3 linked regions of the Drosophila melanogaster genome follow. The protein of the gene in region 1 interacts with the protein of each later gene in a pairwise test. Each region holds a gene or a part of one and is shown on either strand. Other genes may lie near its edges. The genes, in order: Pka-C1, slo and smo.

Evidence for each region.
Region 2: the proteins of Pka-C1 (region 1) and slo interact in binary tests that used the Drosophila melanogaster proteins (3 or more experiments, as listed by UniProt).
Region 3: the proteins of Pka-C1 (region 1) and smo interact in a protein complementation assay, tested with the Drosophila melanogaster proteins (one study listed by BioGRID).

Annotation. Positions count from the first base shown.
Region 1 is NT_033779.5:9,692,265-9,703,141, forward strand, and holds the start of Pka-C1 (protein kinase, cAMP-dependent, catalytic subunit 1), read right to left. Parts: upstream 7,034-10,877; 5' UTR 6,851-7,033; exon of another isoform or gene 6,438-6,850; intron 6,168-6,437; 5' UTR 5,303-6,167; coding exon 4,241-5,302; 3' UTR 3,927-4,240; intron 1-3,926. Other genes in the region: hoip (hoi-polloi), read left to right, coding at 7,671-7,673, 7,736-8,116; pelo (pelota), read left to right, coding at 8,789-8,829, 8,889-9,610, 9,666-9,858; CG31710 (uncharacterized protein), read right to left, coding at 10,818-10,877. UniProt on the Drosophila melanogaster protein: Serine/threonine-protein kinase involved in memory formation. Promotes long-term memory by phosphorylating meng and by regulating CrebB protein stability and activity.
Region 2 is NT_033777.3:24,660,594-24,669,739, forward strand, and holds the start of slo (slowpoke), read left to right. Parts: upstream 1-1,897; 5' UTR 1,898-1,970; intron 1,971-3,770; 5' UTR 3,771-4,202; intron 4,203-4,303; 5' UTR 4,304-4,492; exon of another isoform or gene 4,493-4,831; intron 4,832-7,552; exon of another isoform or gene 7,553-8,268; coding exon of another isoform or gene 8,269-8,316; intron 8,317-8,947; coding exon of another isoform or gene 8,948-8,950; coding exon 8,951-9,146. Other genes in the region: Ppox (protoporphyrinogen oxidase), read right to left, coding at 1-1,132. UniProt on the Drosophila melanogaster protein: Potassium channel activated by both membrane depolarization or increase in cytosolic Ca(2+) that mediates export of K(+). Its activation dampens the excitatory events that elevate the cytosolic Ca(2+) concentration and/or depolarize the cell membrane.
Region 3 is NT_033779.5:273,330-284,659, forward strand, and holds smo (smoothened), read left to right. Parts: upstream 1-4,252; 5' UTR 4,253-4,496; coding exon 4,497-4,534; exon of another isoform or gene 4,535-4,600; coding exon 4,601-4,994; intron 4,995-5,313; coding exon 5,314-5,795; intron 5,796-5,855; coding exon 5,856-6,476; intron 6,477-6,540; coding exon 6,541-6,711; intron 6,712-6,780; coding exon 6,781-8,185; 3' UTR 8,186-8,838; downstream 8,839-11,330. Other genes in the region: mbm (mushroom body miniature), read right to left, coding at 1-305; CG11555 (uncharacterized protein), read left to right, coding at 657-1,322; CG17078 (uncharacterized protein), read right to left, coding at 1,618-1,922, 1,990-3,168, 3,410-3,574, 3,630-3,813; CG11601 (uncharacterized protein), read right to left, coding at 8,843-9,176, 9,325-9,818; CG3625 (uncharacterized protein), read right to left, coding at 10,557-10,881. UniProt on the Drosophila melanogaster protein: Segment polarity protein required for correct patterning of every segment. G protein-coupled receptor which associates with the patched protein (ptc) to transduce the hedgehog (hh) signal through the activation of an inhibitory G-protein.

The sequences.
Region 1 (10,877 bases):
GTCTTAGGAGGAAACTGTTCCCATTTGAGTCGAATGCACATTTAGAATAAAACAACTAGTGTACAAATAAACAAACAATCGGAATACGATACCAATAAAAGAAAATGAAAACAACTGCTTGGGTGGCTAAGATAATGGCGGGCAGCAAGTAAGATCGCCTGATCCCGATCGAGAACATATACTTTATGGGGTCGCCGCGAGCACAAAATGCCCTCGCATTCCACTAGAACGCGTTCTAGGGAAAGAGTAGCGAAAATACAACAGCGACTACAATTTTGAAAGCAACAACGACAACGAAAATAATTGCACAAATGAAACTGAGGGAGGGGGGAAAAAAAGACGCGAAAAAGCAAAAAATTAAAACGAGCACAACATGGCGAGCAAAACGAAGCTGCCGCCGACGTGTGCGTTATTTAAATGATTTTGCCAGTTTGCCTCGCTGTTGCTGTCTCAATTTAAATGTTTTTTATAGCCTGCATTCGGCGACTGCCACTCCTAACATTTTCAGAGATCCAAAAGGGGTTCCAAGGGGGGGTGGTGTTGCTAAAAAACCGACTGAGACCCGTTTGCCAAACTGAGACGGAAAATCCAAACCAAACCAAACCCAACCAAAAACGAAATGAAACGAAGCGAAAAAGTTAACAAAATCAACAAACACAATTAAGGCAAAGGCAGAAATCGTTTAATTTATTCTTCATGCGTATGAAAACGAAAATACAATTTGAGCTTTGCCTCTTTTTCGCTCTTTTTGCATATATTGCTCATACGACGCGTTGACTCAGTCAGATTGTAGTTGCTTACACGGATAAAAATACTTGAGAGCATGGAAAACTTCGATTGCACATATATAACTGTATGTTTATAATAAAGCAAATTAAAGTCATATTCACTATTCATATTATGAATCTTTTTTATTCAATTACTGAAAATATTTTGTAAATTTTTGCCAGTGAACTACATTTACTTCGGTGTCTCTCTCGTTTAAAAACGAAAATGGAATTGGTCACCAGGGGGAACCAGAACCATTTACCTTATTGAATTCTCGGAAAATTCCGGCTTTTCCCCCTCTCGGCGACTTAATTGTTTTCACTTCTCCACGACCATTGTCTGGGTATCTCTGTGTTTTTGTTACCATCACCATCGCCATCGCCATTTACTTGGCCGCAGTTGCAGCGCGTGCGTGCTGGCTAAAAAGCTCGATTTTGAGGGCACTGTTACAAGGCTGCCCGGCCTGGTCGTTATGTCTGAGATCTACCGCCCCCGTTCCGCCACGCCCCCGAGCGAACCTCCCCCTGTTAGCCCGAAATTGGCCAGACAACGTCTCAGATTCACAAGCGCGTTGGCAGTTGCATTCTGTGTTGTTTGGCTGACTGCTAAACTTGGCTTGGTCTAGGTGTTTATTGGAGCACAACGAATGCGTGTTGAATCCATGTTGCTTGATATCTGAGTGCTTGTGCCGCGACTTCTGAGAACAAGTTTGCTCAGCGACATCCAGCTGGGAGCTGAACTTTGGCTCTTAGCTTGCTCCAAATTAGAAGAGTGCCAGAAACGAGGGAAGTACTAACAGTACAATCAAGTTATTCAACTATGAGACTTTTAGCTTAGCTCTTTATTCACTTATATATCAAACAAATGTAAAATAAAGCGGAAATATATAATTATTAAAATTAAATGGTATAAAATTCACTGGAGCAGCAGAGCAGCATTAACTCGTTGCCAAAGAAAGAGTTTAATTGGCTTATCAGGGGAAATCGAATACTAGGGCGTGCCTCCCAATCACCCCACTCCCACCCAGCTGGTTTCTTCGCGTGATAACGCTTCCTCCACCGCCTTTGCATTGATAAGCAATCAGTAAAGCCGTCGAGTTAATGTAAATAAGTAAACCTAATGCCCGACACTTAGTACCCATGACTACGGGTCTAATTGACTTGGCCCAAAACCAAATGATTGATGGCCTTCTCAGGCAGCAAGCGACAGAAACAACCGAATGTTTATACATACATTTATACACATAATTGGTGCCAATAAAACTGTAGACAACACATGTCGCATGGAAATGCTTATATATGTACATCAGGGAATCGAAGGAGAAACCAAAAAAAAAAAAACCAATGTTCGGATGGACAACTCTTTTGGGGCTAGGCCAAAGGTCGAACAAGGTCACGGCCAACGATTACCGCATGAACATTGGCGTGAATATTTCGGATTTTTCCCCTTTGATCTGCAGTCAAGCTTTTCTCCCAGAATTAACAACTCTTGATTGCGTTTCTGTTTTTAGTTTTTCGCATTTCCCCACAATTTCTAAACTTTATGCGGCATTCGCACGCAGCTCTTGCTTTTGTTTTGCTCATGATGTTTGGACATAAAACTTATTATAATTTATTAATTACCAGCAGCGTTTGGCTTTGATAAAAGAAACACAATTTCGGTAATGGCCAACGGGCACGCAATCTAGCTGCTAGCTCTTTGTAGCTCCGCAAAGAAACGAGAAATAATTCATAAAATAAAAGATATACTTCTTTTACTGCCTTTTGCTTTGACATTATTCATGGCTTTCTCTCCCCTTTTTGTTGGCCTTTCAAATGGGTCAAGTGTGAATGACTATATTTCTGTGTGGAAATTGTGGGAGTCCCAGGAAATTAAAATGGAAAAGCATTTTGGTATTTAATTAAAGAAGATGTATCACAGAATGATTCGAAATATAAGTTAAATGGCTTTTTACTTTACTTCTGCTAAAGTGTAACTGAATACATTCCAGTTGAATTCAAATAATTATAGCTAGAAAGTTTCATGATTTACAACCCACCACCAACTTTTGTGTAAATTTACTTTAAGCACCGAGAATTCCTTTGAACGTAATTGGCTTGCATTGTTACTATCAGCTGTCTAGTTTGTCTGTTGTGGAGATTAGACCCGTCTGAACTATGCCCGGCTGCTACAGTTAACGTTTACGACCGCATTCTGACGCTTATTGCAATTAATGATTCGATGTTTACGGGTATAACTGCCCCGGGGGTCTGGCTGCAAATAAGTGAGTAAGTGGTCATGCTCGAATATCTTTTTGAGAAAACATCACGTAGGTTTTGGGTGCCGCAGGGTAACCATCCGCGTATCGCAATAAGCCAAGTCACCGACGGAAACTAATTAAAAGAATTCCGTGTACTGTCCCGGGCAGAACAATTGACGGACGAGCTGAAATGCCTTTTGTCTCATAATCAACTTTCTGGCACTCACTCACTTGCTCTCCCTAAAACAAGCAAAAACATTCCGCTGAAAGCAATCAATCAATCAAGCCACTCAAGTCCATCAATCTCCAGCTAAAGTCAAAACAAAAACAAACCTGCAATACCCTTGCCCTGAATACCCTTCGCTTTCGCCAGTGAATCGTTACCAAAGAAAGTAGGGAATACAGTCAATAGATTAATATCCCGTACAGCAAATATGGTGAGAAATAGAAATAGCCTTCTGTGTGCATTTGCAGATTGATATATGGCATAATAAATTAGGAACTCGCCTTTTCCCGTATATCTCTGTAAGTCAATAGTAATTCCTCTTCATAAACCATTCTAAAGGTAGGCAGTAGAACAATTATAATATGCACTTTCTAAATAAAATAAAGTATATAGTAATAGCCTAATGTTTATATTGTGGTTATTTACTAAAAATCTCAAGTCGTGTTATCAGTATGATTAGGCGTGAATAAGAATGTTGTTATTAGTAATAAATAAAGTGAATGAATTATGAAGTAAACAAATTTTGAAACCTAGACCTACGGTTCGGAATGTGAAATTGTATTTGTTTTTCTTTGCTGAGTAAACCAACTGAGTTTTCTAGGCTTGACTAAATTTCGCTGTTCAAAGGGTTCTAACTCACAATATATTTTTCAAAACCCTCAACATTTTTAAATTCAATTATTATATACTTACGCTGATGTAAATTGTTGTGTGTGGTGAGAAATCCAATGTTGGCAATAGTATGGATGTGGAGTATATACGGATAGATATTCAGACGAAGATGTGGCTGTAGTTTTTGTGTTGTGGGAGGGGCTGTTACAGTTGTTGTAGTTGTAAGTAGTAGACATATAGACAAGACGACGACAACGACGATGAGGACGTGGTCCGCGATGCCACGGCGGTGGCAACAGCAGGAGCAGTTGCAGATACAATCGCAGTAGCGGATACAATTGCAGTTGCAGGCGCCTGCAGAACGAGGGGATTGGGCTGACTGGCGAAGAGCTCCTCTAGAATTCAGCAAACTCCTTGGCACACTTCTCGGTGCTGGAGATCCGCAGCGCCTCCTCCTCGTAGTCATCGAAATTGCTCGTGTCGCCGGGACCCTTACACCGCGGAATGAACGGCGCCTCGATTTTCTTTTGGAAGATCGCAATCCAGTCGGTGGAGGCGAACCACTTCTGGTTCTTAATATCATTGACGCCCGCCTTCAGATTGCCGTAGCGCTTGGTCAGATCCACCTGCAGCAGGTTGCGCAGTAGGTCCTTCAGATCGGAGCCAAAGTGCGATGGGAAGCGCACCTTGCCGGAGACGATCTTCTCGTAGATCTGAATCGGCTGATCCGCAAAGAACGGCGGATAGCCGGCGGCCATTTCGTAGACGAGTACGCCCAACGCCCACCAGTCCACGGCCTTGTTATAGCCCTTGGACAGAATGATCTCCGGGGCCAGGTATTCGGGCGTGCCGCACAGTGTCCAGGTGCGTCCCTTGACCCGCTTGGCAAAACCGAAGTCCGTCACCTTGAGGTAGCCCTGCGAGTCAATCAGCAGATTCTCCGGCTTCAGATCACGGTAGATGAGGTCCAAGTAGTGCAGGTACTCGAAGGCCAGCACGATTTGCGCCGCGTAGAAGCGCGAGTGCGGCTCCGAGAAGCGGCCCACCTTGCGCAGGTGGGAGAACATCTCGCCACCGGGAACATACTCCAGCACCATGTAAAGGTTGGAGTTGTCCTTGAAGTGGTAGCGCAGCGAGACGAGGAAGGGGAACTGAATGGCCTGCAGGATTCGCTTCTCGTTCAGCGTGTGCTCCACCTGCTTCAGCTTGACCACCTTCTGCTTGTCGAGGATCTTCATGGCATAATAGTCTTTCGTGGGCTTGTGCTGGACGATCATGACACGGCCAAAGGAGCCGGTGCCCAGGGTCTTGATCCGTTCGAAGTCATCGAGGGCGGCGGTGTTGGTCGGATTGCGTCGCCACTTGTCCTCGAACTCCTCCTTGGCCTGCTCGAGGAACTCCTTCACCGTCTCGGCGGCATCGACCTTCTTATTCGACGTGGTGGCGTTGTTGCCCATCTTGGAGATGGTGCCCGTTAGCGATGACAAACGGAAGGTTGCGCTGGCCGACACTTGGGCCTGATCGTCGCCGGAGGTGCTAGGTCCTCCTCCCCCTCCTCCTGTTCCTCCGCTGGCTCCTCCTGAATCCGCCCCTGAACCGGGCGTGGTCGTGGCGGCAGGGGGCGTGCTCTTGTGGGCGGCGGCTGCTGACGAGGGGCCGCTGCTGCTGCTGCTAGCCTGGTCCGCTGGAGGTCCCGCTGCCGCTCCCGCTCCTCCCGCTGCCGCTCCGCCCTCCTCCTCGCAACTGGACTGCGCCTGTAGCTTGCCCTCGCCGGATGTGGAACTATGATGGGACTTTTTCTTTTTGAGGAACTGCAAAATGGACTTAGCTATTTTGCCGAGTTACGGGTCAACGGTGCGGATGAAATAGTTGCTCCTTATGGGCCAAAGAGAGCTTCTCACTGGAGCTCTCTCACTCTCTTATTCGCTGAATATCCTTTTAAATTGGTGTTTAGGTTGCGTTTTAAAGGCGCTTGGTTAAGACGCGTTTAAGTTATGGTTTTAGCACGTATTGGTTTCTTTAATTTGTGAGGTCTTAAACTAGTTATACACTTTAGGCTTAGACTAACATTTGGTTTCACACTTTAAGGTTGCTTATGATCGCGATTTACTCTAATTTGAGAAGCTGCAAAGAGAGACGGGAGAGAAAACGGCACAAATTAGCGGGATATTCGGTAAGGGGCTAAAAATAAGAGTCCAGTTTTCCGAGTTCTTTATGCACACATATAGATTATATTTTAAGTTTCTTATGTATTTTCGCTCTTTCGCATTTTTCACTTCATATTGTTTTTGTTCTCAGCGCTTTGCTGGCACTTTTATGGAGCTTAATAAAAAGCTGGTTATAATCACTGAATAAATAAGCTTAACAAAATCGCACACAAACTCGAAATTCAGAAAATAATAAAAAGAAGAGAACAGAGGAATGGCAAAGAGAGCGAGAGGAGGCGACTTTCGATCGTGTCAAGTGTCAAACAGCTGATGCCGTAGTGCCAGCTCACTCCCACTCACGCACTGTTACGCAGTGCTGCTTCCTTTTCCTCGCGCATTCCCTCTCATTTTCGCCTATTTTAATTATTAAATACTTTTTTGGCACCGTTTTGCTTTGGCTTCTGTTTTTTCATTTCCTTTGCTTTTGCTTCTTTGCGTTCACTGGTGTGCGTGTGTGTATGTGTGCGAGTTGATGTGCATATGTATGCGCTTCTGGTTTTACTTCTGCGATCTCTCTTCAGCGCTCTCTTCGCAGGCACTTTTCCACATTTCGCACACTTTAAATTAGTTAAATTGGCCTTTATTGCTCGGTGTGCTAAATTTTCGCCATTCGATTTGGGCATAAAAAAATCCCGTGGTTTAAACAAACACTATCGTACACGCATACACACTCAGCGCTCACCTAACACACACACACCAACATACACATACACAGATTGAATAATCGATTTTTTACATTCATTTCCTTTTTCTGAGTTTGTTTGACTTTGCTTTTCCATTTTCGCTGCGCGAAATTACCTTTTTGAAATTTACGACTACGATGCCAGCGATTTGTAAACACTTTCAGAAATATTGCCTCGACTTTCCGATCGATTTGATGCACTGTAGCTGTGGATTGATGGCTTAGATTAAAAATACCCGCATAGCCGCCGAACCGAGTTTTCCCGACCAAATCGTTCAAAGTTTTTTTTTCGACTGACGCGACTCGCGGATGCGCCCCAGCACGCAGGTGTGAGTAGGCCAGCGATAGGCAGCTCGCTCAGCGTGAACCGTGCGGCGCAATCATGAGTAATCCCTACTGCGCGGGTTCTATTCCGTCTGAAAATCTAAATGATCGGAAATAGCTAGCGGTTATCCAAAATTTTAATAAATAATTATAATAATATATAATTCGTAAGCTGTAAGGATTATTTTATTGTTATGTTTAAAGAGTTCTAAGCTGCATGAAAGATATAATTTTTAATAAAAATAGAGCACTTGTTTAATGAAACGTTGTATTATGAAGTAAGTTTAGATTCGATTTTACGAAATATTTTTAAATGGATTTCCTTTTTTATTTTATGAAATTCTATTTGGGAATTCCCTTAAATTATCAAAAGTATATTTAAGCTAGGGCTGCAGAGAACACAATTTCCGTTACGATTAGTATTGCCTAGATGGCAGTATGACCAGTCTTATTTGGTATTTCCGAACCACCTGCGAACGGTTTTCTAACGCTAACGCACGTGTTTGAAAGCGATTTCAATTGTTCTGCAATTGCCCTCAGTGAAGCAGCAAGCGGAGAGGTTGCATTTTAAAGCACTTTTTTCCAGTAAAAGTATACAATAAACAAGCCAATATGGTGAGTGCATCCACGTTAGCATCGAGAGATGTAAATTTCAACAAGTATCCCAATCTTTGCAGACTGAGGAAGTTAATCCCAAGGCATTCCCGCTGGCCGATGCCCAGCTTACCGCCAAGATCATGAACTTGCTGCAGCAAGCATTGAACTACAATCAACTGCGCAAGGGAGCCAACGAGGCCACCAAGACCCTCAATCGCGGACTGGCCGATATTGTGGTGCTGGCCGGTGATGCGGAGCCCATCGAGATTCTGCTCCATTTGCCGCTCCTGTGCGAGGACAAGAACGTGCCCTACGTCTTCGTTCGTTCCAAGCAGGCCTTGGGGCGTGCGTGCGGAGTTTCCCGGCCAATAGTCGCCTGCTCTGTGACCACCAACGAGGGCAGCCAGCTCAAGTCGCAGATCACCTCCATTCAGCAGGAGATCGAGCGACTGCTAGTCTAGTAACCCTTTAGATTTAAGTGAACATTCGTACAAAGTGGTAATTTCAAATTGAAATTTTGAATAAACATGTGTATTCTTTAATGCAATTGTTGTTTCCAACGCACATGGTTGGCTTGGAGTGCCCAATTTTTGGACACCGGATACCAATGCCGAAAAATACCAGAAAATACTAAACCAAAGGGGTCAGCTGGTATAGCCGGCAAAGTGCTGGCAAATAAATAAGCTAGTTTAATATAAGCTTATTTCATATAAATTATTGAACCAGACCAAAATGTACATGTGCATGTAGAATATTTATTTATAACTATAAGTTATTTATTCATAGAAATAGAAAAAAATCTGAATGGTAGCTTATGCAAACTACTTTAAGAAAGCCAATCCTGGCGGCAAAATAGCCAGTCGCACATCACCGTTCGCCCCTGGTGAATGTCACTTGGCCGCCGATTCTACTGACCACCACCATTGCCACACCATCCTGCCGATTCGATCAGCGGTGTGAACTTAGCAACTGCGTGAACCCAATGACAACGATGCACCGCCGCCTTTGTGAACGGAGGGAATTACTGGAATCTGGGTGCAAGTGACAAGCGGCTAGAGGAATCAAAGCACTCGGTATAAAGGCAGTGCCTGCCGACGAAACAAATACCAAATCCTGACCAGCAACGAGACGGGATGAAGCTGCTGGGCAAATACGTGGACAAGGGCATGCAGGGGTGAGTGAATATCCCCAGAGTCTTAAACTATTTTCGTTATGCCTCGAAAATTCTTTTAGAAATGTGACCCTGGTGCCGGAGGAGTCCGAGGATATGTGGCACGCCTACAATTTGATTGCGAAAGGCGACAGCGTGCGCAGCACCACTATTCGCAAGGTGCAGAATGAAACGGCTACTGGCTCCTCCACCAGCAGCCGGGTGCGCACCACACTAACCATCGCAGTGGAGAGCATAGATTTTGATACGCAGGCTTGTGTGCTCCGCCTTAAAGGCAGAAACATCGAGGAGAACCAGTATGTCAAGATGGGCGCCTATCACACCCTCGACCTGGAGCTGAATCGCAAGTTCGAGCTGCGTAAGCCGGAATGGGACACAATTGCCTTAGAGCGCATCGAAATGGCCTGCGATCCCACACAGTCTGCGGATGTAGCCGCCGTTGTGATGCAGGAGGGATTAGCACACGTCTGCCTGATCACCGCCAGTATGACCCTGGTGCGGAGCAAGATTGAGGTCTCCATACCGCGCAAGCGCAAGGGCAGTGTCCAGCAACACGAGAAGGGACTGGCCAAGTTCTACGAGCAGGTTATGCAGAGCATCCTGCGGCACGTCAACTTCGATGTGGTCAAGTGTGTGTTGATTGCGTCGCCGGGATTCGTGCGCGATCAGTTCTATGACTACATGTTCCAGCAGGCGGTCAAAATGGATTACAAGCTGCTGCTGGACAACAAGAGCAAGTTTATGCTGGTGCACGCATCCTCGGGATTTAAGCACTCCTTAAGAGGTGAGCCATTTACCCTTATGAAGAGATATGTTCTAAGTCAAATTCTTGCCTTCAGAAATTCTACAGGATCCCGCCGTGCTGGCCAAGATGTCTGACACCAAGGCAGCTGGCGAGGTCAAGGCCCTGGAACAATTCTACATGATGCTGCAATGTGAGCCCGCCAAGGCCTTCTATGGAAAGAAACATGTCCTCCAAGCCGCCGAGTCGCAGGCCATCGAAACGCTGCTGATCTCGGACAACCTCTTTAGGTGAGTTACACTTGGTTGAGCCAACGTATATATCTATGTATATTGAAGTAATTACTAGCTGGGCACACATTAAGCCCAATCAAGCGGGAGATCAAGAGCACGATCGCGAGTATAACTAGAAACCTTCAACTTGGCAAAATTGTGTGAGAGTGCTATGGCAATTGGTGTGCTTGTGTCGCCATATGGAACGCATGTCACCAGACTGCTTTGGGTGCCGGAAAGAATACAAATATTGGGGTAATTCAGAAAATCTGAAGAAGAGCAATCAATTTAATTACTGTATCGATTGTGCTTTAATTGATTTGCTATGCCTGCGACTGTGGTTTTCAATTTATTTATGTTTGTGTATAGAATTTATGTGTAGAATTTAGCTGAGAACGCGTTTGTTATTCTTTATTAAGAGAGAGTTTTTAACTTATTATACTACAACCTAATATATCGCAGTGATTTCACTCGTATGGCTTAGCACAGTATCTCCACAAGTGATAAGGTCTAGATTTGCTAGATCTGCCACTATGGACTTCCATAACCATTAGAAGATCGCAGATTCTTCCGCTGCGAATAGAGATCTGCTGCGATCGCACGCGTTTAGCCATTTAAAGAAAGCACGTTCGAGCATTAATTTGTTGGCCCCATAGCGACGTGCTCATGATCAAGGTTGCCCCAATGTCTCCTCACCATTTTTGGCTGCCAGCCTGTTTAGTTCTGTTCTGTTCTATTCACTACTCTTCTCCGCAATTTGTTTACACTTTAATGGGCCGATGAAATTCCATTCGAATATGTTTTTGTATGCTAACTGCGTGGCTGGCAATTAAATGAAAATTAAGTGCTATAGCTTTTTCTTTACTTAACATTTAATGTACTTAATGATCTAGGCAAAAGGTGTTTTATTTTAGCACTTTTAGTCAGTCCGCTTAGGTTGCTTCCCCCATAAGTATTCTTCCTCCTTCTTTTTAATCTCAGAAATTGTTTAAATCGCAGCTCGCCGCTATCGTTGTCGTCGTCGTCGTCGTCGTTGT
Region 2 (9,146 bases), on another chromosome or scaffold:
ACCAATGGCCACCCATCATCACGGTAAGCACAGTGTTCTCGCCCATGTCGAAGCAGCAGCTGTCGAAGATGACGCCGAGCAGAGGTAACTTTTCCACTGGCGGCACTAGCAATCCAAAGCCGTCTTGTTTGAGTAGCTTGCCGGGGAACTGCATGTTCACTACCAGCACATCCACGTACGGAATGCTCAAAAGTTGGGCGCTCAGCGAGGGATGCTGCTGCTTTACCAGGGGCGCGAGTTTGTAGGCGGGCAGGGAGCTGACCACATGCTCCACCGGAACTTCGGCATCCTTGATGTTCATTCGAACCCCGGAGCTGCTGAAGGTCAGGTTCCGGCATTCGTTGCTTAGCTGCACGTTCACATCCCGCTCACCTAAGTACTTTCGCATAGTTTTGGGTAGGTTCTCCAGACCGCCTTTCAGCCCGTACATGGCCCACTTCTCCTTTACCGCCTGCGCATACAGCTTGGGCTGTCTTTCGGCAAATAGTCCATCCTTGGTGTCCTTGGTCTTGTTCTTCTCAAAGCGGGAAATGAGTGTGCCCTTGAGCACTCCTCCGTACTTCTGTTCCTTTTCAAAGAGCCCCTCCATCAGGAAGCGCACACTTATTTCTCGCGCGTCACCGGCGCAAATACCGCAGATCATGGGACTGATGGCGTAGTCGGCTATCTCCTTACCAAACCGCCGCTCAGCGAAACTGTAGATGCTCTCATCCTCCAGCTTCGCTTTCTTGCTTGCTGTGAACAGATCGCGAAGAACCGCTTTGTATAGCGGCTTCGTGAAGGGAGGCAGGACGCCGAAGAGACCCTTGGGACTGTTGGGCAGCATGCAGAGCTGTCCCTTGGCATACAGCATTCGGTTGCGTGCTGCGACATGACTGCGTCGAATGGGAGTCACCTCCAGCTTCAGATCCTCCACCAATTCTAGCGTATTGGCACCTGGCTCACCAACTGGGCGTATGGTTCGCGGTCCGCTCTCGAAGATGAAGTTGCGATCCTTGCGATTCTCCGACCGCACCCATCCGCCCACACGGGGCGAGGCCTCGTAGATGGTCAGCGGCTTCCCGAATCGCCGCAACAGGTAGTATCCGGCGGATAGTCCACTCAATCCGCCTCCCAGCACGGCCGTCGTCATGGTCCTTCTGCTGCTTCTCGTTGCTCCCGAATCCCTTAGAGGATTCAGACTAGTTCTGGTTTGCAGACGAAAAAATCTATGCCGGCTTCGATCGTTCAGACCAAAATAAACCCAGGTGACATAACTATCGTTGAAGCTATCGATAAGCTCAAATCCAAAATCGCTGAGCTTGCAATCGATGTTATATGCGATTGAAGAGTTTTGAATTGACAATTCTGCAGAAAATAAAATCAAATAAAGGAAGGGATAAATATTTTATAAAATAAATAGCATTTATTGTTATACTTATTTTGGTAACTACAGCTAACATAATATCTTATAATCGAAACAATGGTTTTAGAATATTTATTGTTAAATTATGTAAAGTTAAATAAAATATAGTGCAATTGATAATACTTAATTTAAGCATTGATACAAGAATACAAATGCATAGTACTTTTATTTGCCATTATTTTATCTCATTTAACATGCATTTGTGCACCCGTCCCAAAAGTATGCAATGAATTTCTTCCGACATTCCTCATACGCCACGTGTGCATCGTGCGGAAGTTCACTTGCACCTGCATCGGCACCATTACCATCATCATCACCATCACCGCGGCACTGGGTCATTCATAGTGAATGGGTTTTGGCGCCAGTTTTGATGAATCGAACGAAGCGTCCAGCCCGCACCAACCGCAGGACTCCGAAAAGCTCCCAAAGACGAGCTTGGGCCGTGCGGAAGTACATTGGGCCACCGATTTCCATGTCGTCGGAGTCGACATCGCGCAGAATTGTATACGCTGCTGACGAGAAAGGTTGGTCCTCGCGTTTGAGCGCGTCGCGTCTTTTATTCTGGGTGTGTGAGTGAGTGGACTGTGTGGAAAAGTGCCTATCGCGTATATGTATATTCACGGGACCCATACACACACACACAGCTGCAGCACTTGGAAATGTGAAAAATTTTCAAGCTGCGTTTGCCAATTACGGGGAAAATTGAGCAAAAAACGTCTTAAAATCCGGGCAATTATCGTGGCCATTTGCGGAACGGCAATTGTGCAAAATTCGGTATCCGTTGAAAACGGGCTCAGTGAACGTGAAAATGTGCCACACACACACTTACAACGCAGGAAATTCAATTAATTAGTGACCGAGTGTGTGTGTGTGTGTTCGCCCATAAAACGGCGATTGTGATTGCGAAAAAAGTGTTGCATACATAAAGGAGCTAAGAAGTGGACCAACGAGCAACACTAAAGGAAAACTCTTTAGAAATACAGTTTTTCGCTTTTTTTTTTGGCACTGCTGCAGGTTTTCATTTAAAAGATACATTTGTTGAAGTCAACACACACGGACACACACACATGCGCATACGGCACAGTTTTTCGTTCGTTTTTAAAACGAGCACACCACAAGTTCCCCAAAACGAAAGGACGAAGGGACCCGACCCGATGATAAAGTCGATGTTCCAGGCCGGAGATACACTTGTATCGTTCCCCTGCCTTTGCCGCTGCTGTCATCGTCAATGTTATTTTTGTTGCTTCCTACTCGTCGTCCTTCGTGTGTCGCAGGATACCTTGGTATATGTGTGTCAGTCAGTCACTGGCCGAGCGTGGGTGTGTGTGTGCGTGCGCCAGGATACGCAGATACCCAGATACCTACAAATGAAGCCACCAAATCCAGGCGAGTTCAATGCGCGGCCAGGACGAAGGACTAAGCTCTGTTTACATTGGCTCACGAATGCCCATTTTCCAAGCCCCCTGTATTTTCCGCCCGTTGGCGTGCCGTGGGAAATTGTGTCGCCTGCTTATTTATTATGAAAATGCAACTTTCATTTGACTCGGCATTTGTCCCGTTTCCATTGTTTGCAGGCACATTAGGCAGCTCGTTAAGCGCATGAAAGTGTGTGTCCTGCGGGTGTGCGAGTGTGTGTGTGTGACACGAAGGGGAACTAAAAACTAGGGCAGTGTGTTTCCGTTTCAACGACATGCCGCAGGCGAAAGAACGAGTCCGTCCGCAGGACAGCAAAGCCTCGCTAATCGGGCAGGAAATGAATAACTTAAAAAGTTACCAATGACAAGTTTGACATTAAATGTATCATATACAAATAACATGCAAACGAAAGTGATAATTGTAAAGCATGTTGTATATTGCCAAAAATTCTAGTTTTTGGTACCACATTGCGTATGCTTAACCAAAATGTGCGACTTTCGCAGGCAAGGAAAAAGCTTTCTGCCCGACAATTTTCGGATTCCCTGCATCGCGCAGCCGCCAATACGCCAGCAGCAATTGTGAGAAATTGAGAGAAATTCTCAGAGAATTCTCCGAGAACTGAGAATTTAAAAACGGCGAGAATAGTGCTGATTTTGCTTTCAAGTCTGCTTCGCATCTTTATTTATTTATTTACTTGACACGCTTGCTTTTCCGGCTACGGAAAATGGTGATACAATGTCTAAAATAATATTAATTTAATAGAATATATATACGAATACAAATATATACGTAATATCATTGACAAATGTCTGCGGTCGTAAAAAAATTAAAAACGCAAATAACGCTGACAGCCTAACTAAAAAATATAATTAATTACCGCGTTCGTCGCGCTGCCTTGGCAAATTAAAAAGTATTTAAATTATCGCTCAACTTAATAAATCTCTTGCAGCTTAACACACAAGGAAAAATTTCGTGGGCAAACAAAGCTAAATAAGTTGTGAAAGGAAACATGAGCAGTGTGACTAAGCGCAGTTTCTAATTTAACCAAATTCCAATTCAAATTCAAAAGAACGAACAACTATTGATCAAGACGGCAAAGAAAGAAGCAAACAAACCAAAACGCACAATGAAACTGATAAGCTTAACGCAGCTGATAACACAATGAAACTCATCCACGGATCCGAAATGCAATTATGAAATAATCAGCAAGCCGCAATCCATCAGCCAGTGAGGAAAATCCAGCCAGCCAGCCCAAGAATTTCCACGTGCAACATTGGCGAGCCGCAGCGACCACAAATCGTCCAAACACATTGATGTGCGATTTGAGCGTGTGAATGTTGGCAGCCCTGGAGCCCTGCCTCGGTGGTTTAGCCAGTACTAGGTGAGTACTCCCAGTCCTTCATCCATTCGCCCAAAAAACACTGTTCCAAATCCCAATTCGATTGCACCACCACCACAACATCCATACACTGTGCCGCATAGAAACCCGAATATGAGAACGGATAGCGAGGGGAAAGCCGTAGCAGCCGCAAGATCCACTTCGAAATCCAGAAAGACCATCAACACCACATCAGCAAGCGGTCCGCCCGGACCGAAACCGGAACGAACATGGCCAGCTGGTGCCCCAATTGCCACGAACTGCCACCGTTCTATCCGCCCATCACGCCAAAGGTAAAGCCCTTGATGTCGTACGTGATAAATCCACAGATACATATTCGTACGCCTCGCTTGTGAAAGACCATCTGAAATTGTAGAAGTCACGTTAGCGGCTCTGCAATGATCTGTATACGGACTACTGGGATTAACCTATCTCTCCAGCTCGTCAATCAATCAATCATCAATCAATCAGTCATTTTTCCAGCGATAGTTCGCAGTGCTAGACGCTGCTACTCTTATCACATTTTGCTCTACTTCGAACATATAAAAGGCAGTGATCTTTAATCCAATAGCTTATCACTTTGTTTTGAATCCAAAGGAGCGAGCTCATTATATTATATATATCATTAAAATGTAAGCCTTATTTCTGTTAATTAAGTGTACAACTTGGTGTAAAACGATAATGTAATCGAGAGATATTTGTAAAATTTGTTGTAAATATATATAATGTACATAATCTTATCAGTACTTAGTAAGTTAAATGGCTCAGTTTATTTACTAGGTACAAACGCTTTTTCCATTTCTTCAAGAATAGTTTATGCTAAGCTCACTTTAATTTAAGAAACCCAATACCACAATCTAATCTTAATTATGCGATCGTATATTTCGCTTCCTGCTTTGAATTCGTTTCGCTCCATTTAATAAATGGGATTCACATCACTTTGGCAACCCATTCGCAGTGGGTCGCGTGACCTTTGTGAATGTGGCACACAAAGAACCCAGTGCAAACACACACACCGACCAAGTGCAGCCTAAGCCCTTTGGCCTTGGCCAATGTCCAATGTCCGATGGGAAAGCGAAAAGACATGGGGGATTGGGGAGACCAGTGGCCGGCAATCAACGGACCCAATCAGCGGGCCAAGTGCTGGCCATAAATTGCTCAGAAAGTCGAAGGGTATTTGTCAGCTTCGTCAGTTGTCGCCGTCTTTGTGCCTTTCGAGCGTTTCGCTTTGACGGACATGCGTCAAGATATATAGAGCTAGCTGGTCAGGGGCTCGCCCACGCCCCCCAAAATCGATAGTTCGCAATGAAAATTATTATCTAGCCACCGGTAGCCGTGTGACTTCATCCGTTTCTGGCCGCAAAATGACAGGGAAATCGGCCTGGTGGTATAATTTATATCGTTCCCTATCTTTTCCACCCGCACTCATAAGGCGCCACCAATTCCATCGACTTGGCGCAGTATCTCTGAGCCCGTTAAGGCGTTTTGACCGAAAAAAGCATTCTCCATTTGGGCCAAAGAATATAGAGCGACCAGTGCTTCTCATGTTATAAATAATTTATTCAACGCCGGCCACTGCAGTTTCGCTTGGATCGATGAAAGTGCTCGGAAGTTAATCCAAACACTAAAAAAAAAGGCAAGCAACTGAAATTTTCAAAAAAAAAAAAAAAAAACGTTTGAATGTGCTTATTTAAAGGAAACTTGATACCACTTCTAAATTCAATCCAATTTTGTGAGTGTGTTTGCTTTGCGAATTACAAATTAACACCCAGTTGTGTGCATTTAATTGAGTTAAAAATAATAGTATTTACAAAGGCCTCAAGTTTAACAAAAAGGTTAAAGAGTAACCCATTTCGGCTTAAAAAAAACATTGTGTTTTAACTTTAAAATTAATAACTTATTATAAACCTCATTACAAAACATTAATGCAATTTAGAAACCTTTTATCCTTAGCTCAAATGTTGAGTTTCGTAAATATTACGTATACGCAATGCTTAAATTCAAGGTGAATGCTGCTTAAAAATAGTCATCAAATATTTAATTGAATAACAATTTTGCTCTTCTTCGCTATTTATAATTGCGTAAATGCAATGAAGCGAAGAACCTAACCGCCCAAGCATCGCAAAAAAATAGAGAGCAGTGAAAAAAAAACAACGATACTGAAATAAAAACTATAAATAAAATGCACGCCACTGGCTTATGATGAGCATGATGATGATGGGAAGGGATAGCAATGCAGGGATGCGAGGGCTAAGGGATGATGAGCAATTATGGCCAGTGGGGCAGTAGTGGAAAGTAGTGGAAAGTAGCGGCAGTGGCATGTGCAAACAAACTGGGCCAACTTGTTACCACGGCTGCCCCCGCAGGAAATAGCAAACAAAGCGCGTAAATTATGAAACGACAGCTAACTGGCGGCATGGCGTGACTCGCCCGAGTTAACTGAAGCAATGGCAGTAACGTTAACGTTCACGTTAACCTGCCTCCCGCCCACCTATACACCCATCCACTGGATCCACCAGCCACTTTTTGGGAACGAGTGTTGCCCGGGGGGCCATGGGGTCACCGAAGAAGGAATGCAAAAAGTGTGTGTATAGGCGCAGAGCACAAAACAAGAGACAAAACCAAAATGAAAAAGCGAATAGAAGCGAACTCATAATTTATTTATTTATACTCGGCCTGCCGTTGTCTCTTCTTCTTGTAACAATAATTCATTGTGGCCAACACACACGCACACACACAACACACTTGCTGGCTGCCCTTGCCAAGGGTTCCACCAATATTTGCATCAATCGAACTTTTTCTATTAAACATTCAAACATGAAATTGTACAAAACAAATTAAAAATATCGTTAGATTATAAGCGGAACTAGAAATTATTATATGTACCGCTTGATAGAACATTTTACTGGGCTAACTTAAGATTAAAGGACAAGCAAATATTGTAAATAAAAAGTTACTCTTCACTATTTATTCAGTAATCCTTCGAATTCTTTAGGATTCGAGTGTCCAAAACTACAAAGGTCCTTCGAATTCGTTGTAACACAACAGTTAGGGTATATCCTCTTTATTCCAATACCCAATTGAATTCGCCTTGTCTTGGCGCTCTGCCTTTTAATTAAATTCAAGTTTGTCGCCCGTACTGACACTTTTCGCGGTCAGCCATATAGCCAAATGCCCGTATAGTCATACAATCCGCCGGAGAGCGAGAGAGATGGCCGGAGAGTGGGTGAGCCAGAAAGAGAGAGGGATGGAGAGCTGTAGCCTCCAAGGGGATATAGATAGATAGGAGCGGGCTCTTTGTAATCGTTGAAACCGTCCCGATGGCACTGGGGCAATTGGAAAACGGCTCGTTCAGTTGGTGGACGCCAGTTGTGCGGTTCGCTCGGTGCCTCCTTTTGATTCAGCTCGATTCTAGACTCTAGACTAAAATCGCGTGCGTGCCGCGTCGTGTGTGCGACATCCGCCATATATATATATATATATAATAATATATACGGCATATACTATACGTATATCTGTGGCTCCGTCTACACCCCCAAAATTCGTACAAATTGCAAATTCACATGCGTATGTGCAGTGATTCACCGAATGAGTGCGTTGGCCTCTGGCCGCAAGTTGTGAATACCCAGTGAATCCCTAATGAATGCAGGCCATAACCACAATCCTAACCAGATTGTAGTATATGTATATATGTAGTTATGGTATTTGGTTGTATGGATCGTAAGATCGGTGCTGTGTAGTCGGCCTTTGCCCAGTGTTATGAGCACTTTTGTCGCCGTGCGTGTGTCGGAGAAAAAGATCACTTTAAAAATAACAGATTTGTTTGATGCTATTTATAATAGACGGGCCAAGTTTTCGTTCCGTTTCGCATTGTGAGGCTGAGGCCTTTGGTGTTCCGAGATCTTTGGTGGATCATTCGTATCTTTCGGATTTCCCAGCGTCTTCTATTCTCTGGCACTCTAGTAGCCTGGCACTCGACTGCACTTGAACGCCATTCGAATACGAATATAGTGGCAATATTAATTTGACAGCGTTTGTGTGTTCGAGTGTCGCAATGTAAACAGCCAAAATGGCAAGCGGTTTGATCGACACCAATTTCAGCAGCACATTGGCAAATGTAAGGATTGTACATAGAACACACTATATACCCTATGCACAGAGAGAACTTTTTCATTACAATTTATTTATGTAATTAAAATAAGAAAAAGTCATAAAAAAGTCATAACATGTGGTTGTTTTTTTTTTAAGCCACATATTAAATTTAAGTAATCCACAAAGCACTATATATAAAAAATATTTTGTGTCACATAAGTTAGATTTATAAAGTAACCAACCAACTGAAACTGCATATTTCATAAAAATGTAAAATGACATTATTTTTCGCCTTCTTTTTGTTGTGTGCACAAATGAATACTCTTTTCGGCTAAGCAAACTAGAGACATTTATTCATGAACTCATTTCATTTATGCGCACCCTTGGCCAGGCACAAATTTTGTTTACATTCGCCAGCGTCGCCAAGTTGAGAAGAGTATAGTATAGTATATACATATATGTGTACGATTGGATTGCGACCGAGTGTCTTCATATATAGAAGGCATTTCGCCGATTTCAAATGTCAAGTGTATGACGTAAACAATGTTTCCGCCAGTTATCGTATTGATTTATGCTAATTATAGTTAGCTAATTGCTAGACCATTGCAACCGAACTAATTGCTAACGCTTTTCGAATTCGAATATTGTGATTGCAGGGGATGTCGGGGTGTGATCAAAGCACTGTCGAATCATTGGCCGACGATCCAACAGATTCACCATTCGACGCCGATGATTGTCTCAAGGTGCGCAAGTACTGGTGCTTTCTGCTGTCCAGCATCTTTACATTCCTTGCTGGCCTGCTCGTGGTGCTGCTATGGCGAGCCTTCGCATTCGTTTGCTGCCGCAAGGAGCCGG
Region 3 (11,330 bases), 9.4 Mb from region 1:
CGCCTGCCACCCCAACCACCACCTCCTCCGCCACCGCCTCTATTTCTTCGGCCCCCTCTCTTGTTTGGCTGATGATTATCCAGCTCCTGTTGGGGATCTCTGAACTTGTTAAACGCGTTTCCATTCTGCCCACCTTCCGATCCAGCGTCTGGCCAGTTTCCATTGGCGGCGCGATTTTGGCTGTGGCTGCCTCTTCCCCCGCCTCCACTGCTGCGCCTCTGCTGATTGTTGCGGCCGTAATTCGAAAACGGTTTTCTTTCCTCTCCTGAAAGGTTCCAGCCGGATTGTCCTCCACTGTTGTGCATTATGGAATTGTTAATATTTATAAAACCGCCTAGTTGCGGCGCACGTGTTGAGCCGATTGGGGTTATCGATAAGATCCGATTGTTGGTGGGACTGCCGAAGTGGCTTCTTTCAAGCCAAAACTGCTATTCATTATATGTATATTAAGTTTGAATACCTTATATATAATATAATATATATATATAATACTGTGACAATATGTGACATAATACATGTAATGGACTAAAATGTGAAGTGACCAATGGAAGGTTTTTATAAGATTTAACATATATAGCTAGATTCGATAGTTTCTCAAACTGGCACCTCAGATGGTCAGATGGACGATATTCAGTTTAACCACAAATAACAACGCTATGAATTCTACCAATCCGAAGAAAACAGAAGATAATGATCGCCATGAACGTCAATTGCAGAGCCGCACCAAGGACTGGGGCAAAACCAAGTTCAAGCCAAAGAAGTATGTCCAACCGAAACCAGCGCTCGTTCCACAAGCTACTGCGACGCCCTGGCAGCATGTGAAGAACGACATAATTACGGATTCTTCGGACCGGGGACACCAGGATGTGGACAGCGAGGACGCAAGGCAGTTCATGCAGCAGCGTCAGAAGAACCACCGTCGAAATGTCATAGAAGCCAACCGGTCGCAGGATACTACATGGGAGCCCTTCAACGATGAGAAGCCCTCCACGGAAAGAAAACAACAGCTCTCCACGGACGTTGAGAACTTCACTTTTAAGGAGCGGAACTTTTTCCGAAAGCAACTCACTTTGGGTTTCAATTTAACGAAAAAGAATGCAACACTTAAATCTGCCCTAAAGGACTTGAAATATAGACAGCTGACAAAGGACAAGTTCGAATTAGAACGTTCGAATCATACACGTCGAAATGTGAAATCATCAAATGCGAAAGAAGCAAAGGGTAGCCATCCCTTTCAGAAAATGCGAGATAATGCACATCCTTATCGAAAGAAGGGACCAAATAGGAGAAATCCGTTTCAGAAAGGGCCACATAATGAATAAGTTTAGCTTATTTTCCCTTAGGTGACTTCACAACCCCAACTGGCAAAACATGAAGTTTCAATTAAAAAATAAATAAAAGATTCTTTGTCGGGTGACAAATCAGAAATGTATACACAACATTACTACACACTTTATGCAAATCTTAAAAATAGTGGTACAAATACATGTGGAATAGGTCGGCGAAAATAAATAAACTAAACAGAGTTCGGCTCCTCCTCCGTTGGGAGGAGCAAGAGGAGATTGAAGTGGCGCTCGCTGCGCCATGGTTCCAGCCAAAAATCGTCCAAATGAAATCTCAGCCATGTACATTGGCAAGCTTGGCGATGAGGTGGTTAAACTTGCCGTTGGTGGTCACAGACTTTTTGGCCGATCGCACTTGTTCCGGCGAGTGCTGCAGAAAGTAAACGACGATAAATTCGAGTGTTTGATTGGCTTCCTTAGGGTACATCATGTTAAAGGTATAGTAGTAGCAGATTAACTGGGCCAGAATGTCCGGCAGGTCTTCGTCTTTGGCGGCGAATGTGGCCATTATCTGGCCTTCAATGTAGACCTTCGCCTCCATTTGCGATTCCACGCCGTCGGCCGTTGTTATGGGTGAATCTGTGGGAAGATAAATATTTTAAAAGTATTTAAACACTTTTAGTGATATTAATTTTTGTGTACTTACTGACTAGAGCCACCCAGGGGGCGTTTGTGGGATTCGTGCTTTGCAGTGATTCCTTGCTAAGGGAACTGTTCTCGAGGTGCTTGAAAATGTAGTCGGGATCCTCATTAAAATAGTACGCTATGCCACGCAGGAAATTAGCGTTGGTCTCGTCCAAAGAGCTGATCTTCTTGTTCTTTGAACTCTTAAAGAACCTGAAAAAGCGATCCTTTTCGGTAGCCAAGCGCTTCTCTAGAGCCCGGGGATCGATGGACATAAGCAGCTCAAAGTGCTGGTACAGCACAGCCTTGTCAAAAATATATGGCCAATTGTCCTTAATGGCCGTTATATCTGGGATCTTTTCGCTGTTATTAAAAAAGGAGCGCTGCAACGGAAAGCACTCTTTCATATATTCGATTATGACGGACTGTTCCAGTGGGGAACTGCCTCGGTAGCTGGAGATTAGTAACTCCTTTTTGTGCTCCAGATCCCTGTTAAGAGCCAGCGATTTTGCATCACCATTGGAAGCACCACCTCCGAATTTTCGTTTTTTATTAGGGATGTGGATCTCAAAGGTTCCCGAGCTGCCGCGTTTCTGGGGTTTGTTTAGGGCATTGTTACGGTTGATCATCTTGGATATGAGCGATTGCGGAGTGGTGGCTATAAACTGTCCCTCGCGGTCTTTTTCGAGTAAGGAGTCGGGGTACTTTTCAGCCGCCTGTTGGGCGACCTGCCGGAAAATCCGTATGGGAATGTGGGCGGATATTTCACGGAGAGCCTCCACCAAAACATTCGCAAGTGTATTCAACCGCTTGCCCAAACTCCCCTTTCCCTTTAGTAGTTTCATTATGTCCCCAGGCACCTTGCTCCAGGGTATCGAGAACTCCTTGAATAGAGCAGAACTCTTTGCACTTGATGGCGTTACGCTGGACAGTGACATGGTTTCGTCATTAGAGACCGTCGAATCGTTCGGGTTCGACACAATACTGTTGTTGGCATAGAAGCTGGGATCCACCGAGCTGCCGGCGCGTTCGGATCGGTTGAGGGGCGATGGCGGAGGAAGCACCACATACTCCTCCGACTCGGCGAGGAGCATCAACAGAATCTTCTCCTTGGCAGCGAACAAGAGCACGTCGTCCTCGCAGATCTCGCAGCCGTTGCTCTCCAGGACAATTGTGTTGCCGCACAGGCCGTATTTGTGAGCTACCGAATACAAATATATTATTGATATAAATTAAATAAAATATGTACAATTATTTAATTTCTATCCTAGATAAATATATCACCCATTGATCAAATTTATATTTTTAAATGCAGAAATGCTCTAAGCTTAAACCCAATAGATTCTTATTAAAGACTGTCTACTGGTTAATAACTTCCAACTGGGCAACGTTCATTCGGAATACTGGATGAATAGATACCCAATTCGTCGGACGTTCCTTACCTTTGTCGATTACATCCTTTCGAGTGGGCAACGACATGAAGGTCTTCTTGATCTTGCGATCGGCGCTGCATATGGTAATCAATACTTTGTCAGCCAGCTCGGTCTTCGGCTTGCCCTCGTCGTCGTCCTTCTGGCTAGCATCAGTGGAATGTGTCGGCTCTACGGCTAAAAGGTAAACGTTAACCAGGAAACTAGACTAGCTTCGAGCAAGTTTGCTAACCGGGGGCTTTCTCACCGCAGCTCTCTGGCTTTTTCGCTCCTCCTGTTTGTACACCATTTTCGATTGTTGTTGCCTTTGCGAGTGCGACCGGCGCTTGGTTTGCATTTTGATTCGGACTGATCGGCGCCTGCTGGGTGCTATGATCGCCGCCGGAACTGGCGGGCGGTGCGGGGGCAACGTCCATGGCTTCTATTTGCGTTTGCGCGACTCCAACCAAGCCCTGTTATCCGTGTTTTTGGACCGTGCCGTGAAATAATATTGCAGAATAGGGATGTAAAAACTACATCGATGCTTGGTGCGCTACTATCGCGGTGTTATCGATACTCCGCACCCAGTGTGACCGTCGAGCGCATGGCATAAATAAATAAGCCAGCGGCCAGCATTGCCATATAGTCAAAATGTTGCGGGGAACACCTTTTTCGTTTGCTGATGCATTTCTACATATGATCATATTTCTTATTTTATGTTGATGTTATCTTATGTTACGATCGAACAAAATAAATCCGATTTGTTTGCATATCATTCGACTTGTTGCAGCTATGACCGATAATAACCGATGCCGACCGATAACATGCAAATCTCGCTGACCGATAACATGGGTATATTTAAACTGGCCCTGAATGGTCGCACATTTGTTGCTTCAGCTTCACGTTGAGTCGCGTTTATTTTTGTTTTCCTCCTTGGTTCTTGTTTTTTTTTTCTCTTTTTTAAAAACACTGCAATCCTTCAAAGGGAACAATTAAACCAGGATATCCCGAGTCCAACGAAAGCGCCTTCACGATGCACTGACGAACCGCTGAGCAAGAAACGGGCATTCAGCCCATTAAAATTCACACAAGGCAGCTATTTAATGATTTTTATAAGCGGATGCAGTACTTAAACTTTCCGCGCATGCCAAACATTATGTGAGTGACTCGCCTCTGGCAAATGGTGTGGGCAATTAAAATAACTTGGTTATTTACAAACCGCAGGATGTTCCTGGAGGTTGCGATCTTATGCCTGTGGGTGGTCGCAGACGCATCGGCCAGTTCGGCCAAGTTCGGCAGCACAACGCCCGCAAGTGCGCAGCAGTCGGATGTGGAACTGGAGCCCATCAATGGGACTCTCAATTACCGACTGTACGCCAAGAAGGGCAGGGACGACAAACCCTGGTTTGATGGCCTAGACAGCAGGCACATCCAGTGTGTCCGACGTGCCCGTTGCTACCCCACCTCGAACGCAACCAACACCTGTTTCGGCTCAAAATTGCCCTATGAGCTGAGCAGCCTAGATCTCACCGACTTCCACACCGAAAAGGAGCTGAACGATAAGCTGAACGACTACTATGCCCTGAAGCACGTGCCCAAATGTTGGGCAGCTATACAGGTGAGGAATCTTAATAACATCTAATGTACCTAATGATTTCAAAAGGTGGGGCCGAGTCTGTATGAAAATACAGATTGTCGCATTATTTTCTGATAAGGAGGTGCATTAGAAACAAGTTAAGCGCACAACTGTGATTACTTAATTACGCTTTGTGTTCAAGCAGTGAAAGTAATATGTGAATTGCTTTATCTTGGGAAGATTCAGATATATATACATATTCAGTTGTGGCTCAAGGTTTTCTGTAGATATTATAGTATTTCAAATCCATTTCTTCAATATTCCGGATTAGCTCAACACACCCATTTTTACATGTTTATAGCCCTTTTTGTGCGCCGTCTTTAAGCCGAAGTGTGAAAAAATCAACGGCGAGGACATGGTCTACCTGCCATCTTACGAGATGTGCCGAATTACCATGGAACCCTGTCGCATTTTGTACAACACGACGTTTTTCCCAAAATTCCTTCGCTGCAACGAAACACTCTTTCCGACGAAATGCACAAACGGAGCACGAGGAATGAAATTCAACGGAACTGGCCAGTGTTTAAGTCCTTTGGTTCCGACAGATACGTCAGCCAGCTATTATCCTGGCATCGAGGGCTGCGGCGTGCGATGCAAGGATCCACTCTATACCGATGATGAGCATCGGCAGATCCACAAACTGATCGGATGGGCTGGCAGCATATGTCTTCTGTCTAACCTTTTCGTGGTGTCCACCTTCTTCATCGACTGGAAGAATGCCAACAAGTATCCGGCAGTAATTGTGTTCTACATAAATCTTTGCTTTCTAATTGCTTGCGTCGGGTAAGTTTTGAGCACTATTTTGCATTTGTATTCTTAATCAACCACGTATTTACTATGCAGCTGGTTGCTTCAGTTTACTTCTGGCTCGCGAGAGGACATAGTATGTCGTAAGGATGGAACACTTCGCCACTCAGAGCCTACAGCCGGTGAAAATCTTTCTTGCATAGTGATCTTTGTGCTGGTCTATTATTTTCTCACCGCTGGAATGGTTTGGTTTGTGTTCCTCACCTACGCCTGGCATTGGAGGGCCATGGGCCACGTCCAAGATCGGATAGATAAGAAAGGTTCCTACTTTCACCTCGTGGCGTGGTCACTACCCCTTGTGCTTACCATTACCACGATGGCTTTCAGTGAGGTGGATGGAAATAGTATTGTGGGCATCTGCTTCGTAGGCTATATCAATCATTCTATGAGGGCAGGACTACTTCTTGGTCCGCTCTGCGGGGTCATCCTCATTGGTGGATACTTCATCACCCGCGGCATGGTGATGCTTTTTGGACTGAAACACTTCGCTAATGACATTAAATCAACTTCGGCGAGCAACAAAATCCATTTGATCATCATGCGCATGGGAGTCTGTGCTCTGCTCACTTTAGTTTTCATACTAGTGGCCATTGCGTGCCACGTTACGGAGTTTAGGCATGCAGACGAATGGGCCCAGAGCTTCAGACAGTTTATAATGTAAGTGTAAATACTCGTTTATAACTTTTTCCATACGCCTCAACTAGATAATTCTTTTGTTTAGCTGCAAAATTTCTTCAGTTTTTGAAGAAAAGAGTTCCTGTCGAATTGAAAACCGACCTAGTGTTGGCGTTCTTCAATTGCATTTGCTGTGTCTATTTAGCTCTGGAATCGTAATGTCCACCTGGTGCTGGACACCTTCTTCAATTGAGACTTGGAAGCGTTATATAAGGAAGTATGTTTTACCATCCTACCAAAAGTTGCATTAAAGTTATCTGTACTATCGATTTTATAACCTTTGCAGAAAGTGTGGCAAAGAGGTGGTCGAAGAAGTGAAAATGCCGAAGCACAAGGTCATTGCCCAGACATGGGCCAAGCGCAAGGATTTCGAGGACAAGGGCAGGCTCTCCATAACGCTCTACAACACCCACACAGATCCCGTGGGGCTCAACTTCGATGTGAACGATCTGAACTCTTCTGAGACGAATGACATCTCATCAACTTGGGCTGCATACCTCCCGCAGTGCGTAAAACGTCGCATGGCTTTGACGGGAGCAGCGACAGGTAACTCGTCAAGCCATGGACCGCGAAAAAATTCATTGGATTCCGAGATAAGTGTGAGTGTTCGACATGTTTCCGTTGAATCCCGCAGAAATTCGGTGGACTCGCAGGTATCAGTGAAAATAGCTGAAATGAAGACCAAAGTGGCGTCCAGATCAAGGGGAAAACACGGAGGCTCTTCCAGCAACAGAAGAACCCAAAGGAGAAGGGATTATATAGCAGCTGCCACTGGAAAAAGCAGTAGGAGAAGGGAAAGCAGTACTTCAGTGGAGTCGCAGGTCATCGCGCTCAAGAAAACGACCTATCCCAATGCTAGTCACAAAGTGGGCGTGTTTGCTCATCACAGCTCCAAGAAACAACACAATTACACCAGCTCCATGAAGCGAAGGACTGCTAATGCCGGATTGGATCCCTCTATTCTTAATGAATTCCTGCAGAAAAATGGCGATTTTATATTCCCATTCCTCCAAAATCAAGATATGAGCTCTAGTTCGGAGGAGGATAATTCCAGAGCATCCCAAAAGATTCAGGATCTTAACGTGGTTGTAAAGCAGCAGGAAATAAGTGAGGATGATCACGACGGAATAAAGATTGAAGAACTGCCAAATAGCAAACAGGTGGCATTGGAGAACTTTCTTAAAAACATAAAAAAATCTAATGAATCCAATTCTAACCGACATTCCCGAAATTCCGCAAGAAGTCAGTCAAAAAAGTCCCAAAAGAGACATCTCAAGAACCCTGCTGCTGATCTAGATTTCAGGAAGGACTGTGTAAAGTATCGGTCTAATGACTCACTTAGCTGCTCCTCTGAAGAGCTGGATGTGGCTTTGGACGTAGGAAGCCTTCTTAACAGCTCTTTTTCTGGAATATCCATGGGCAAACCACATAGTAGAAACAGCAAAACCAGCTGCGATGTGGGCATACAGGCTAATCCTTTCGAGCTAGTTCCCAGTTACGGAGAAGACGAACTGCAGCAGGCCATGCGACTCCTAAACGCAGCCAGCAGACAAAGAACTGAAGCAGCCAATGAGGATTTCGGAGGAACGGAGCTGCAGGGCTTGTTGGGTCATTCCCATCGGCATCAAAGGGAGCCCACGTTTATGAGCGAGTCGGACAAACTCAAAATGTTATTGCTGCCTTCAAAATAGCAAGACTAAATAAGCAATTGATGCATTTACTTAAGGTTCAAAAACTCTTACAATATTGTAGTTTTTGTTCTAAGAAATCAAATTGTTAGCGCTGAAAATAATCGTACAATCTTATCTATTTTACGAAATCGTAATATTGTTATGTTCACTGTTCAACGATTTATAAGAATATATCGCTTCACTAGAATTGGAAACCCAAATGATATTTAAAACAAACAAATACGAAATTGTAGTACACAAGCCAGAGCAGTTTACATGCGATGAACATTTAGATTCTTCTTAATCGATTACTGGAACAGACTGAGCGAAACTAGAACTACGAATTACGAATACTCATAGTCATTAGGCTGCAACTTTATTTTACAGATTCATCACCCCATCTAGCTTGTAAGCATTCGAATCTCTGTGTACGTTTGTGAATGACTGTTTCCTTAATCCTGGTACTCACGCCAAAGTAAATGCCAAAGAGGATAATAATTTATTTTCATTATTTTTCTTTGCCGTGGGTACAGGACTTTAGATTGTAGATTATAGATTTAAGTACGATATAAATAAGCCTCTTGGGCACACAAATCGTACCTCAGAAAGTGCCTTCAAGTTTACAAAATTATACATAATAATTTGTGTAACTAATAAACGATTTTAAATCCTCGAGTCCTAGCCTTGCTTTAATTTCTGTTGATTTAGGAGCTTAAACTCCGGACCCCAAACGACGTTGTTGGCGAACTCCCCGAGCAGATAGCAAACCAGGTTGAACCCCACAAGTAGTGCCAAGAACACGTAGCGCAGGTATGCGGGCAGCACTTCCAGAATGGGATACACCCACTCGCCACTGAAGTAGCGAACAATGTGCAGCCAGATGATGTAAAGCAGGATGAAGGAGACGTTGCCCGTGATGCCTGCCAATCGACTCGGATAGCGGCGGAAGCAGGTAAACAGGTCCATAATGGCCAAAAGGGCCACATTCGTGTGTACCACGTGATTCAACCAGCTGCAAATATTGAGAAACACAGGTAAATCAAAACTCGCCTCGCCTGATGAACAGAAAGTTTAGACAGGCTCGAAACAAAAGAGACTCCAGCAGACTAACATTGTGCATTGTACGCAAGTTAAACCGGCGGAAAAACATAAACACTTGCCTGGGGAAAATCGCATCCAGCGCTGAGGGAAAGATGAGCTCACGGTCCCACACGTAGATGACCCAAAACGAGAGGCAGACATTGTGGGCGACAGGAAAGGCAAAGGCGGCGAACACATAGTCCCTCACCGATCGCAACATGGATTTTGAATCCCCGGAGACATTGTTATCGCCGAAGAGATCGTTCAGCAGAGCCAATGAGTGGTAGATGGCCTGTAGAATGACGTCCAAGAAGGTAAGGTACTTGAACTTGCCGCCCCACCGCGCCTTCAGTTCATCCTCGTCTAGCAAATCCGTGGGCCAATGCACCCGGAAGTAGTGAAAGTATATCCCATACGAAAACTGCGCTGCCGCCAGGAGATGGACCAGGAATCTCAGGTATTTGAAGGCACCGCTCGTATAGGCATCGTTGCAAGTGTTCAACTGGGCTTTAGTGGCCTCGACAGCTTCCTTGGCGGCGTTGAACTCGCGCACCTGCTTCTTGCTCTTGCCCATTTCCTCCAGAAAAGGTGCAAAGGGCACCGCACGCTGAGCAAAACAAAACAAATAAAGCTAGCCAACAGCTGATTAGGGCGCAACACACGTCGAGTTTCATTCCAGCAAGGAGGCGTTTTTAAGCTAGAACTAGCTTTTTAAAGCCAAATCGATATGATAGCGCCACTTGACGTTTCTCTGATCTTGAAAAGCAGTTTATTCCAAGCTTCCCACCTTAAAACAGTTTTCGCAGCTGATGAAGAGTTTAATCGCTTTATTATGGTACTAGAATTGAATAACAGTGGTATTCAAAGATGGCGTTGAATCAGTGTGCTTGATATGAGAAGTTTAATCGAGAAGGCATTTTTGTATTTTGGTTAGTCTAGTAAACTTATCGAAAGACGCGCGCGCTCAATGGAAACTACGGCTATAATTTCAGTTACAATGTATGCGTAATAAAAATATAATGAATATCATTAGCAAACGGGTTTCCATATTATGATTAAAGACTCCGAATTCAATATTACTGGAAAATATATTATCGAGTTGATGTTTCAAGTTTCGTTTATTATTTCTCACATATTTTGTACGCCTTCTTCAGTTAACTTTGCAGTACGATTTTACATACTTATGAAAAATTTCTTTGGCTGAGAAGATCGAACAATATGAGCAAAATGTATAATCGAGACCTGTCAATCACTATTTGTATTTTGTGGCTAATTAACGCAACTACATCGAACAGAAACGGGTCACAGCCTCCTAGTTGGATTTGCGCTTGGCCAACTTCACTTCCTTGGCCCAGACGGTATTGTTGAGGAACTCGCCCAGCAGGTAAAGTGACAGCGTGAATCCAACGACGGCCGCAAAAAACAGGATGCGTTGCGGAAGCTGGAGAACCTCGAGCACTGGATACACCCACACACCCGAGTAGTGCTTCACCACGTGAATCCAAACCAGGTAGGCGCCCATGAAAATGGCCAGTCCTGCGAGTCCTTGGCTTCGTTTTGGGTACGACCTGTACGAGATGAACAGCTCCAGGATGATGAAAACCACTATGTTGGTGTGCAGGACGTGGTTGAGCCAGCTGAAAGAGTCGAGCGAAGATATTATCAGAGTGTCATGAAAAAACAATGGGTGAAATCAAGACTTTTCAGACCACTTTTTTAATTTTATCCCTAAATATATTATGACGTACACATCTTTCAAGCTTTGTCGTAGCAAGCTATCTGAATAAATTAATTACTTTGAAAGTAAAACCAGAGCCCCAAAACGAGATTATAGGGTCTTAAGGTTTAGTGTCTAAGTAGCATTTTATGAAGATGGTTTATTACTGAAATGAAAGGAAAAACGTTGATCTAATTCCTTCAAATGTATGAGTACTTGTTAGGATATATATATAATTGAAAGATATAGTTCCAATTAAATCGAACTTAAAAAGCCTGGATATAAAGAAACACAATTAACACAATACCGTAAATAGGCATGTCAGTGGTATAGAAAATGGATATGGCTTGAATTAGACATGCTTAGAAT